Linked DNA regions of Caenorhabditis elegans. The protein of the gene in region 1 interacts with the protein of each later gene in a pairwise test. Each region holds a gene or a part of one and is shown in the gene's direction. Other genes may lie near its edges. The genes, in order: sta-2 and snf-12.

What was found.
Region 2: the proteins of sta-2 (region 1) and snf-12 interact in a two-hybrid assay, tested with the Caenorhabditis elegans proteins (one study listed by BioGRID).

What each region holds. Positions count from the first base shown.
Region 1 is NC_003283.11:9,739,317-9,745,109, forward strand, and holds sta-2 (Signal transducer and activator of transcription b), read left to right. Parts: upstream 1-1,889; 5' UTR 1,890-1,906; coding exon 1,907-2,026; intron 2,027-2,104; coding exon 2,105-2,574; intron 2,575-2,674; coding exon 2,675-2,791; intron 2,792-2,839; coding exon 2,840-2,930; intron 2,931-2,977; coding exon 2,978-3,091; intron 3,092-3,133; coding exon 3,134-3,217; intron 3,218-3,340; coding exon 3,341-3,562; intron 3,563-3,872; coding exon 3,873-4,009; intron 4,010-4,059; coding exon 4,060-4,193; intron 4,194-4,575; coding exon 4,576-4,694; intron 4,695-4,819; coding exon 4,820-4,915; 3' UTR 4,916-5,015; downstream 5,016-5,793. Other genes in the region: aqp-4 (Aquaporin), read left to right, coding at 1-132, 229-265; marc-1 (RING-CH-type domain-containing protein), read left to right, coding at 400-424, 468-655, 941-1,226, 1,433-1,554. UniProt on the Caenorhabditis elegans protein: Carries out a dual function: signal transduction and activation of transcription. Required, in concert with transcription factor elt-3, for up-regulation of the vacuolar H(+)-ATPase and acceleration of lysosome maturation at molt.
Region 2 is NC_003284.9:9,027,671-9,034,483, forward strand, and holds snf-12 (Sodium-dependent transporter snf-12), read left to right. Parts: upstream 1-1,799; 5' UTR 1,800-1,807; coding exon 1,808-2,140; intron 2,141-2,496; coding exon 2,497-2,875; intron 2,876-2,922; coding exon 2,923-3,066; intron 3,067-3,117; coding exon 3,118-3,211; intron 3,212-3,323; coding exon 3,324-3,495; intron 3,496-3,538; coding exon 3,539-3,765; intron 3,766-3,815; coding exon 3,816-3,910; intron 3,911-3,957; coding exon 3,958-4,087; intron 4,088-4,133; coding exon 4,134-4,257; intron 4,258-4,302; coding exon 4,303-4,482; intron 4,483-4,574; coding exon 4,575-5,360; intron 5,361-5,840; coding exon 5,841-6,245; 3' UTR 6,246-6,285; downstream 6,286-6,813. Other genes in the region: T25B6.3 (TryThrA_C domain-containing protein), read left to right, coding at 1-8, 188-366, 417-615. UniProt on the Caenorhabditis elegans protein: Probably mediates sodium-dependent uptake of unknown small molecule(s).

The sequences.
Region 1 (5,793 bases):
AGCTCGATCACTGGGTCCAAGCATTATTGGTTCGATTTTTGCAACTCAAAAAACATCTTTTTACTGGAATAATCATTATATATATTGGGCTGGACCACTTCTTGGATCCACAATAGCTCTTTGCATTTACAAGTAAGTGAAGAATAGCAAATTGAGGTCCAAGTGGGACGAGTCTCGTTTCCGTTAAATGGTTAATAAAAATATGTTTAAAATATTCATAATTTTCAGACTTTTCGAATCACGAGAAGAACGTATCGTGCGATGAACACGCTAAATTCATTACGTTTTGACATTTACCTGTGGTATTTATTTTTTATTCCCTTTTCAAATTCATATTATTTCTCATCTTTTCTTTCGAATCGAATAAATCGAAATCTTTTATTTCAATTCATTGTCGTTATGGGTGAAACAACATCTATCAACTGTGGGTTTTAAACTTTATGTAATTGAAAAATGTAACATTGAAGCTGCAATTTCAAGTAACAGTTCGTTGTCTTTGGCAAGCACACAGGTTCAATCACCAGAGAAACCAGTGAGACCGGCATGGCTACTTGCATCATTCTCTGAATCGACAACTTCTGGATCTCGTAGAATTTGTAGAATCTGTCAAATGCACGAGGGAGATATGGTTAGACCATGTGATTGTGCTGGAACGGTTAGTATTTAGTGATTCATAAATTTATGATAGTTTCGAAAAAGGGGACATTAAGGGCCTCAGAATCTCGTGGCTTTATGTTTTTGTATCCAATTTGTTTTGTAATTTTCGAAAAGTCTTGTATTTTTTTATATCCTTACTTATAGCCACGTAGAACAGATTAAGACAAAACCCCCACATTTAACAACTGACTTAAATATATTTTTTCTGAACATTGAATAAAATCCTGACACAAGACTACACAAGAAAAATATTGTATTGTTCAAATTAATTTACCAAATTCAGATGGGTGATGTGCATGAGGAATGTCTCACGAAATGGGTAAACATGTCAAACAAGAAAACCTGTGAAATTTGTAAATCTGAATACACGAATAGTGGTGCTCAGTTCAAGCCAATCAAGCAGTGGAGTAAACCAAAATGCTCATTAAATAATATTTTCCATGTTCTGATCATAGTTCTTCTTGGACTTTTGATTTCATACGTGGTAATTGTAATGGAAGAACGATGCTTTTACAAAAGAATTATTGAGAAGAATATGTATGCTCGCCCAGATGATACTGGAAGAATTTGTGAGTTTAAACATATATTACTTTCCAAATAACGACCTGTAGAAGTTTTTATCGAGAATAGTTACCTTTTCCGACTTTATAGAGGTTTTCGAATTGACAAACAAGTGCGAAATCTAGATCTAAGCAGAAAATAACAGAAATAACAGAAAAAAAATAACAGGCGGAAAATAGTTTCATCAGTAGACTTCAAATTACACATGTTCCAGGTGTGATTATAATTCTCTCCCTGGCAATTCTCAACAACGTATACACTCTGATTGCTCAATTCATTCGCTACTTGAAGAGTCAACGTCAAATTCGTTTCATTAATAAACATTTAACAATTTAAATTCGAATGAAGTGATGTTTTGTCTGCATTTTTTTCTAATTTTTTGTAATATTGTAAATTTATTCGATGAGTCATCTAGGAATCAGATGAAAAGAAAATGTATCTCAAATAAGAAGAGAGATAGACATACAGACTGCGCAAAACGAGTTTCTCGACCGAGAATGCAAGATGCCCACCCGACTGTCCGACGACATCGACGGCACTTTGTTGTAACATCGATTGACAATACAAACTCTGACATCATCGGTCACTTGTTTTATTTTGTTTTACTTTTACTCTTTTCTTAATTCATGTGACTACTTCGTCACTACTCCTCTGGTTTAAATTTTTAAATTCATTCTTCAAGTTCTAGATGTCGTCGGTGGTATCTGACCAAATGGACATTGAGTCCTCTTCTGCATTCTCCCCAGCCGAGCCAGTTGTAGATGGAGCATTCGTGTCAAAACATAATTTGAGCGCGGAAGCATATCAGGTAGGAACTTCAGTAAAACCTCAGTTATTAATTGTGATGAAAAGTCACAGCATTTACTGTTCATGATGCTGGTTTCAGGGTTTCAAAGAATGTGCAGATTCCCTTTTATCGGGGAAAATTGCCCAAAATGAGCAACTCCCATTCATTCAACGAACGCTGCAAATTTGTGAAAATGTGATCTTGAATTTCGAAGACGAAAAACAACATTTGATGAGCGATGTACTTCTTGTATGGGCTATGAAACAACAGAAGCTTAGTATTGCAACTCTTCACACCCAACAATTACATTACAAAGAATTAGATTTGATCAATTTACAATTTGAATATTTTGGGGAACTTTTGCAACAGACACTCTCAGGACTTGATTACTTGAAGCAATACTATCCGAACGTCGGATTTGAAGAGGTTCATTCAAAAGTTCGCAATTTGACCCATTATTTCCTTTACTACTCAATCATTGTCAGTCGTCAACCACCATCAGTGATTGTTAAATGTGGTGAAGCAGAGAATCATAGAAGAAGCAGATTCTGGTTTAATACTGAGATAAGGTTAGATTTATTCAAAAAAAAATGTTGAAATTTTTTTGAAGAAACAAGACCGGAGAAATTACATAATAGACCTAAATTTTGAATTAATTATTTGATTCAGAATTCTTGGTGGATCCGCTTTTGGAATTGATACAAACAATGAGAATTCAAATGTTAATTGTTACTTGATTACCGATGAGACTGCTAAGCAATTACTAAATAATGCTTACCTTGATATGTGAGTTTTGTAAATTATATCTGAAGCCAATTTCTTTTTTATTTTTAGTTTTGAATCTGAAGAATTCTGTATTGAGCCAAACACATCCACGTTTCAAAAAAAAGATGCAAGAGGAATAAAAGCGAAATTTGACGATATGGCGAGTTTTTCATTTAAAGATGGGAAATAAAAACAATTTCTTCTCAGAAAGTTGCAAAAAAGGTTGCACTTCGTCGAGATTCCGTTGCTACAAAACGATATTGTCTGTGCTATAATATTCAATTGCAAACAAATTGTGGAATTGAACTTGTCGGAAAAAAGGTTATAAATTGTTGGAGTGTATATTAAAATTAGATTTTTCAGGTTTCGCTTCCATTTGCTGTTCTTGTTGGTCCAAAAGCAGATGTTGAGGCAAAATTGTTCCTCGAAAGATCTTTTGCTGACTTGGTAAGTTTTTTTTTGGTATTTTTTAAAAAGAACACACACTATTTGGAACTCGAAAAATTTTTTAAATATCAACTGTGAGCTTTTTCAAAAATCTTCGAACAGAATTAAATGATCAAATTCCAGGTCCGCCATCCGCTTTCGGATATTCCCACTCATGTATCTTGTGCTGAAATGGCTGATGCTCTGGAAATGAAATTTCAAGCAATCATAGAAACACCTCAAAAAAATACTGATGGACCTTCTGTTGTTCAACCGAGAAAATTCAATATGCAAACAAAACAACACTTGGTGATGAGAATGAAACCAAATAATCAAGGATTTTTGCCACTTGATAATTTTATGAAGGTATGCGTTTTTTTGAAGTTTGGAACTTTATTTAAAAAATTATCGAAAATTGTCAAGAAAGGGAGAAAAGTGTCAAACTAGAAAACTCTCCATTCTCAAGAATCCCTCCATTCTCAAGAACCTAAATGGCAACTTGACAGTCCTTCAAAATCCTCATTTTTTGTGGAAACAGTAACAAAACGTTTATGTATGTCCTTGTAAACTTCAAAGAAAAAAACAAGTTCCATTGTCAATAGAGTTCCAAAGTAATGGAATACTCTTTTCTTTTTTCTTTTTACTTCAACTACAACTAAACCCCCTCAATTTTCAGCTTCCGGTTGCAGAAGAATTCCAGCATAAGAAAAGTGCCTCTGCGGAAGGGGATTGGAAATTGGTGCCATTCTACGACTGGTTCTTTAAACTTGCAGAAATTACAAATAAGTACCTATACAGTATGTGGTATGACGGGTAGGTAATGACATATATGTGACGCGAAAATTAAAGCCTTTCTGTTTCAGCTTGGTTTATGGGTTTTGCAGTAAAGAAGACGCAGAGAATATTTTGAGATGCATACCGAGAAGTGTTTTGTTGGTTCGATTTTCGGATATTGAATACGGAAAAATTAAGATTTCAGTAAAGAATAGGAATGGTGGTAAGCTTTCAAAATCATCAAATGAATTCAAGGAAGTTCGTGAAAAACGAAGGGTGTGACATTACTTTTGCGATTTCGATGAGAAAATTCAACAAAAATTCAAGACCGAAATCTATACCAGTTATCTCAGTTTTTCTCTGTTTCAGAAAAATTTTCCCGTACTTTTCTTTTAAATATACTTTTATGAATAGGACTGCATTGAACAGAAGAAGAAAAAACCTCGCAAATAATCCAAAAAATATTTTTAAATATTCAAAAAACAACATAAACTTATCATATTCTAACATAGTTGCCAGCAACATTCTACGCACTTTTACATTTATAAATTCAAAATCAAATAATTTTTGTTCCGAAAACCGAATCAACTCTGTTTGTTTTCTAGAAATTCGTCATCACTGGTACGAGCACGCTGATCTAAATGCTCGATCCCTGAATTCAGAACTTCTTTCAAATCACAAGTTCTCCGACGTCGATCTCATTTATCCAGACATTGATCTAGAGGTATGTGTTTACACAGAATATTGCCCCTTTCATTTCTCATACATTCGATAAGAATCTTCATGAAACGCTTATTAAATGCCTGAATATGAATAATTGACATTTCGTTAATGACCAAACAACTTCAGGTTGCTCTCGGAGGACGGAATAAGCCACGTATTCGACTTCCACGCAATCTTGCTCCCGACGAAATCTATTTTGATAATCAAGGAGCCGCCACTTGAATGAACGATAACTGAGCATTTGAGATATCAGTTAGATTGTTATAAGTACAAACACACTCACTCAGAATTTAATAAAATAAAGTAATTTTACAATCAAAAAGCGAACTATCAACACGGTTCATTTACGTTTTAGGGTTGAAATGAGTCATTGAGAGGTAATCGGAGACATCATTTGGCAAAGAAGGAATACAAATAAACACACATGGTGGGTTAATTGAGAAACTTGTACAAATGGTAATAAAGAATAGAGAGGAGATTTGTAGTTTGAACTAACATTAAGAGGTGGAAAAACCGTCAATTTGGTTTTTGATTTGGTTCCTTGAACAAAAAATGAAGGGGTCAGGAATCACAAAAAAACGGTCTCGATTGAAAATAATGAATTTCTGTAACTGTTGAATATTTGAATAACAAAACGTTATTGAAGACATTCTTCAGAAACATGTTATTAACTACTTTGTGTTTAACTTTTTTAAATTTCATATAGTATGTATACGCAGGAGCCTCATAAAAGGTGATTATATCGGCTCCCGCTGCACTTTGCACAGAAATGTCCCAGAGTTTAGAATATCTTCAGTGTGCCCAAAGCAGATGTTGGAACTTTTTTTAACACTCTTTGACTGAAAACCTAATTTTCTTAAGTTTTGCGTCCACTCGGATCGCTTATGCCGCTTATCATCTCAATTTGACAATGATAACACTTTCTATTCTTCTAATGATAATAATCCATCAGAGAAAACCATTCCTTCAAAAAAACATACACACATCCCGGATAGTTAGTGTCGGAGGTCTCCACTCCTTAATGCACTATTTTTGCAACACAAAACAAGTGGGCGGAGTTCGTCTGCGCTTCACCACGTCTTCGCACTGTCGCCGCCCGT
Region 2 (6,813 bases), on another chromosome or scaffold:
AACTTAAGGTATGAATATTAATGGGAATGTAGGGAAATATTGATTGATAAAGGAAATATGTGTATTAGATTGGTTTTTTAAGTCCAATTAAACTCCAGTGTTTGCATTGTCTTTGTCAAAGAAACGGGATCTCACACACATTCGATTTGATATTTGCAGTTTATACTGTTCCATTATATTACTTTAGGAGACAGAACAAATCTTGGAGCTCAACAACCTTGCCAAGGTAGACATGTCATCTGCGTCAAAAGAACTGTTTCAAGAGTTCATGAGCACTCTTTGTTGGAACAATCTCACTCCAAAAAACTTTTTGGAAAACTATATTAGATGGGAAAAAGTGGAGTTTTTGGAAAGCGCAAAAAAGTTGTAAGCAATTCAATTATAATTCTTATAATTCTAATATTTCATATTTTCAGTCTTGTCCCGTCACAGTCCGACCATCATTTGTACAACAAGTACTTCTTTCACCTCGGGCACAATTTCCTTTCCAACTGCACCGTCAAAAACGACAAAAAATGGAGAGAGTCTCACTTTGAGAAGCACGAGAATGATTTGTTTGATACCTACATGTACGACGGAATGGCGCATCGCGAATGGGCTACTTTAGAACTTTAAATGCATTTTTTGATACCTCATTTAAAAATCACCAATAAGCTAAATCGAGTCTACTTGCGCACCAGGGCCGTGTGGATTTTTGACTTTCTTGAGTTCTGTGCGGCTGTAAGTGATCATAAATGTCAAGTTTTATATAGTTTTTATATAATCATTATGTTGGATTGTTTCTGAACAATAAAATGTATCTATTCACTTGTTTTGCTCGCTGTCCAAAAAAAAGTTACAGTGCCCTAAAGTGGTCGCCATAATTATTTACCACCCTGTATATTCAAAAGTAGTACTATAGTCTTGTAGTCAAAAAAAAAGTGTGACCAAGAAATAACACGGCTAACTATTTTGGATGCAAAAAAATGCTGGTACCGCTGAAAAGGTTTCAAATTATACATGATTTTGAAAAAAGCTTGCCTATTGAAACGTGCACAATTGGTTTTGAGGGAAGGAAGTGCACTAAACAGTGTTTTTGTGGCAAAATGGGAATACATATCTAAGGTTCTCTGCGTAAAAAATTAATCGACTGATAATAAAAATCACGAAACTCAAAGACATCGAGAAAAGTTTAACGTTATCTTTATATCATTTACAATACGAAAGCAAAATTATTACAATACGAAAGCAAAATTTTATTTATCCTTCTGTGTTTTAACTCAACAAATTGAAATCTAACGCGTTGATCATACGCAATAGTTTGTTATTAAAAACTAATTTCAACCAAATTCTCACAACATCAACTGTACTATTCTCGCGTACTCAATAATCTCTCGTCTTGCAAGAAGAGGTGAGTTTGTCAAACAAAAAGACGGGAACAGGTTTTCCTCGGGTTTCCCTTTATCGCCTGCGTTTTGTAGATTCACGATCTCTAACCTTTTTAACCTTCTTCACCGTCGGCATCACCTACAACATTATTTTCGTGCCGTTGTAGTTTTTATTTTTCTTAAAAGTTATAAATCTTCCTTATCATATGTATAATCAACATTTAATAATTTTATCAATGTTTGAAATATAGCTTTTGGTATTCTGAGTTGAGTTTTCTGAAAGAAAAAGAAAAAGTGCTCAGTCAGAAAATATAACATGTAGTGTGTATGTATTCTTTGAGCAATTGTCGAGTGTCTTACAATAAAAGTACTATCATATTCCGCTACGATTTCGGAATCCCTGAAAAATAAAGAGAACATATTTTTTCTAGCAGATCAAAATGAACGGAGAATGGAAATCAGCTCTCCGATTGCAAATCGAGGCACTCGCCAAAAGAAACGAATTGCACCGTAAATCATCAGTTGACGAGATTAAGAAGCGAACGGTAGATATGGACAAGCGAATTGTCAAACTTCGAGAACTTGTTGGTTCAAGTGCTAATGACGCTGCCCTATTTTATTTGGAGTGTGTATGCCATGCAGACGAAACAGAACGTCTTTTAAACCGAGGAAGTTCAGTGGGAAAAGAGAAGAAATGGAAAAAGGTGAAGCGAAAAACAAGCTCATCAGTAGCTCCGCCATTATCCCGAACAATATCGTCCCTTCCAGGTGTGGTGAGTGTGAATTTAATCTCTGAAAAATGAACATTGGTGTAGGACGTTCAAGAGTTTTGTCAGAAATTGTAACAAGAAACGTCCGACATTTTTTTCAAATTGAGAGTAAATTGTTTTAAATGTGGCCGATGGCGTCCATGTTAATTTAAGTTTCAATATAAAGCATACTCAGCTTAAGTTAAAAAATTTAGATTTCTCCTACATTTTTTTCACGATAGATGCCGATTAAACGCCTCACAAGACAAGGTGATTTCAGTTACGTTGACAAAACGATCAGAAAAAACTTGGACAATATGATAACCTGTCATTTGAAAAACGGAATTATAAATAAGTTAACTCTTCATTCAAATTTTCAGTCATCTCCTGATGTTATTCAAACTATTGATGTATCAGCCCTTGAAGACCAAACGCCTCAACGTCCGCACTGGTGGGACCAATTTCAATTGTACAGACGAACAGACTTACTTCGGTTTTCCAAGCAAAATGATCGACGGGAGCTGTGGAGAACGCAGAAAGATTTCTTCCTCTCTTGCCTTGGATTCATGGTTGGAGTCGGGCACACTATGCGGTTTCCAGCAAAAGTCTATCAGCATGGTGGAGGCGTTTTCTTTATCCCGTACCTGTTTTCGCTAATATTTTTTGGTCTTCCATTAGTATTTTTGCACTTATCATTAGGTCAGTATACTGGACAGGCAGCTAATACAGCGTTTCAGAGATTGATGCCAATTGGATCAGGTAAATCAGATATGAGTGCAAAACTTATCAATCGTAAAGATATTCAGGAGTTGGTTGGGCTTTGGTTGTGATTGCAATTCCGGTAGCGGTTTATTACAATATTATTGTGGCTTGGGCAATTCACTACTTTTTTCAATCGGCAAAAGGACTTTTGTTGGGAGACGAACTACCATGGGAAACTTGTAGAGACGGTGAGCTGTTTAAAACTCAAAATAATCATAACTGGAATGATCCAAATATAGAATGGCAACTAGACAACCGTTGCTGTAACTTGCACAACTTGCATAGCTGCTTCAATTCTACAAACTCTATCACTGCACCAGAAGCATTTTTTCAGTGAGTTTTTGGAAAATGAAGTACATATGTTTATTTTCTATTTTTATTTTTTGTTGACAAAAAGCTATTTTTTAAAAAACGTTTAAATCTTTGCAATTATTTTTGCGTTCAGTTCCGAAGTTCTTTCATTATCAACATTTGGGGATTTTGCGTTGGGCCCCCTACAATCTCACTTGGTGCTATCCTTAGCTGCTGCGTGGCTTTTGGTCTTTTTTGGAGTGTTTAAGGGTCTTGGATCAATTGCTCAAACTATGAACGTAACTGCTACTGTGCCATATTTACTGGTTTGTTGTAATTTTTTTCAGCTTTTAACGAAAATATTTCCAGTTGTCTATTCTATTACTGCGTGGAATTAGTCTGCCCGGAGCCAACAAGGGGCTTACATTTTTATTCACTGTCGATAGTACTAAACTTTGGAAATGGCAAATTTGGAAGTCAGCTGCTGAGCAAGTGTTCTATGAGCTAGGAATAGATGCGGGTCCACTCATTTCAATGGCGGCGTTTTCTAGGTATCGGAATAATATATACCGAGACTCGGTGCTTTTGGTAATTATGTTAGTGAACACTATCAGACGATGACAGAAAAAACATGGTAAGGTTTTAGGGATGCACTGACTTCTTGCCTCTCTGGAATGGTCATCTTTTCATTTGTTGGATTCATTGCAAGCGAGTCAAACAGCAATGTAAATGATGTTTTAAGTAAGTTTATCTGTTCCATATCAACTATGTCATTATTTCACTTTCAGAGCACGACCCTCTCTACCTGTCATTTACAGTTTACCCGGGTGTCACATCATTCATGTATTGGGGAGGTCTCTGGGCAACGTTGTTTTTTGGAATGTTGGTTTTAGCAGCAATTGATGCAGAATTTGCATGGTTGGTTCATACCTTCATATCAAGTTCATTGTTTTTATTTTTACAGGCTTGAAATGATAGCATCTGCATTTATGAATCACTTCTCCATGAAAAACAAAGCAGTGGAAAACAGGCTTTTGGCATTTCTTTGCTTAGCAGGGTTTTTTCTTGGTTTACCGTTGTGTGCTCAAGTAAGTGTAGTAAATTCTATACTATTTTTCTATCAAAAAATTCAGGGTGGGATTTTTGTATTTCATGCAATTGAAAATCTTAACGCTAACTGGAACTCGTTCTCCCTAGCGTTACTCTCAGTGGCTATTGTATGTTATGTGTACGGGATCGACAACTATTTGACGGATATTTCTGCAATGCTGCGAGTTCCAAGAATTCAGATATCAAAGGCGACAAGATTGAAAGTAAGATTTTGGAAAAAAATAGAACACTACGTATTACCAACAAAAATTTGAAATTGTTTTACACATAACAATATAAATTAAACGTTTTCCAGGAAAAACTAATATATTTCTTCGGACCTGGTGGAATATATATAAAGTTTTCACTTTGCTTCATTTGCCCTGTTATCTTGACAGTTCTCCTTGTTGCTTCAGTTTTAGGATACCAGAGAATCTCATTTGCTGGGCGACCAATTCCGATTGACTATGAAATTGTTGCTTGGATTGTTATGATTGGACCATTACTTGTTGTACCTTTGGTTGCATTCATGCAAATACGGCAGATCCGAAACGAAGGAAAACTTTTGAAATCTCTTTTTGACACTTCCGAGTGGAGAGAAAGCCAAGACGACTCCCTTGAGCCAAAAGATCTTTATATGCGACAAAGTGGTAAATTTGAGAGCCCACCGAATAGGCGAAGAACACCAACAATTTTCACTCATCGAGAAAACACTTATATGTACATTGATTCACGTGGACCAACAGTGAGATCACGTGTCTTCCCACTTGGAGCTTCTCTAGATCCGTATGGATGGAAGGCGGGAAGACTCAGAGATCGTCAGCAACAAATTGAAGAGACCGCTTCGAATTACTCAGAGGAAGATTCAGCGACGACAAATTCGTTCATGGCGTCAACTGTGAAACACAATGATGACATGGAGTTAACCCTATTTGGTTCGCCACCTGCAATATTAGGAGATGACGAGAAAATAATGACAACCAGATTTTCGGAATCGATGCCTGTAAACTATAAATGTCGTAATGTTGAAGTGCCAAGAATACCAAACAAGCTACCACAAAATATGGAAAGGATGGCTCGTAAAACACGCAAGAAGCGAAGTGTAAGTGAATATAAGATATTTTCAAAAACATGAATTATTATGTTGACAGAGCATTATTGTTTAATTTTTTGTTAGTAGTAGTATATGAAAAGCGTTTGCCGAAAACCTAAATTACAAAATGTTTTACCTCAAACTTTTAGATATAGATTCTGCCAAATGATTACTTCGAAGCAGTAATTAAAAAAGTCATTTTGCAATAACTTTTTTAAAATCAAACACTTATTAACAAAAAGCAACTGAAGAATTGTTGACCCAGTATTTTTTTCTTGATTTAAAACTGCTGATCATTTTAAAAATTGTATCAAATAATCTGAAAGGAGATGTTTACAACTTTATTCAATAGATTTTCATGAGAACGTATAGGTTTGATTTTATTTGATTTTTTATGTGAAGCTTTTGAAAAAAATTAAATTAATAGTTCGTTTTCTTTCAGATCATTTCAATTTGTTCAAACCATCTTTATATCAAAATAAATTTCAGAGCCCATCGGCATCCGATCCACCCGTCCCGACAAGTCCACTCCCTCCACCGCCCAAATTACAACACTGCCGATCTGAGCCCCCAATGATGAACAGCAAAGAGTCACACTCTCCTGAAATCATCACACCAGGTGATGATTCACCGTCAATTTCTAACTCATCTGACGACTCATCCGATGACTGCTTTCGTAGAGCTACAGTCATCCGACGGAAAACCTCCGACGACGACGCATTCACTCATTTCTCTACAGCAACCGCTGAATCAATTTCCATTACACCCTTGGACTTTCCCAGACAGCGCTCTTTGAGTTCAGTGGCAATTTATGACCAGGAGCAGAAGAATGGCAGGTCGAAAGTGTTATCACAGTTAAAGCGGCCGAAACCAATTGATATGCCGCCAAAATAAATTTTGTTGCAATTTGTGAAATAAAAGATTGTTGATTTTGAATATAAACATCAAATATTGAAATGAGAACAAAGTGATTTTTCAAAGAAAATTCGCCAAATTAGAGTACATATATTGTAATATGAAAAGTCTGTTTCCACTTTATAAATGTCTAAGTGCAAAAGAATAATGATAATTCTATAAACATTTTTCCTGCAATTTTCTCAATTGTTATTCAAAAGAATGTTGGAAGAGTTGAAAGAGGAAAAGATCACAGTTTCTGCATCTTCTTCTCACAGTATTTAAAACAGTTTCCGTTAAGAACTTGAACTAATTCCGGACTTAATATCAAAATTCTGCAAATCCTCCAAGATGATTTTCTAAATCTTTGCGTTGATCCTGCAAGCACTATAAAATACGTTTTTTTTTTCAAATTTATTTCCACAGAAAAAACCATACGATACGATAACTCCTTTTCTGATTAATACTGTTTTAATCCCCTTGTAATGTGCGAAACTGTACATTTTGTCCTTTTCAGGCATTAGCAGGCGATACATGAAGTGCCTGTACAAATCGAACATATTAAACC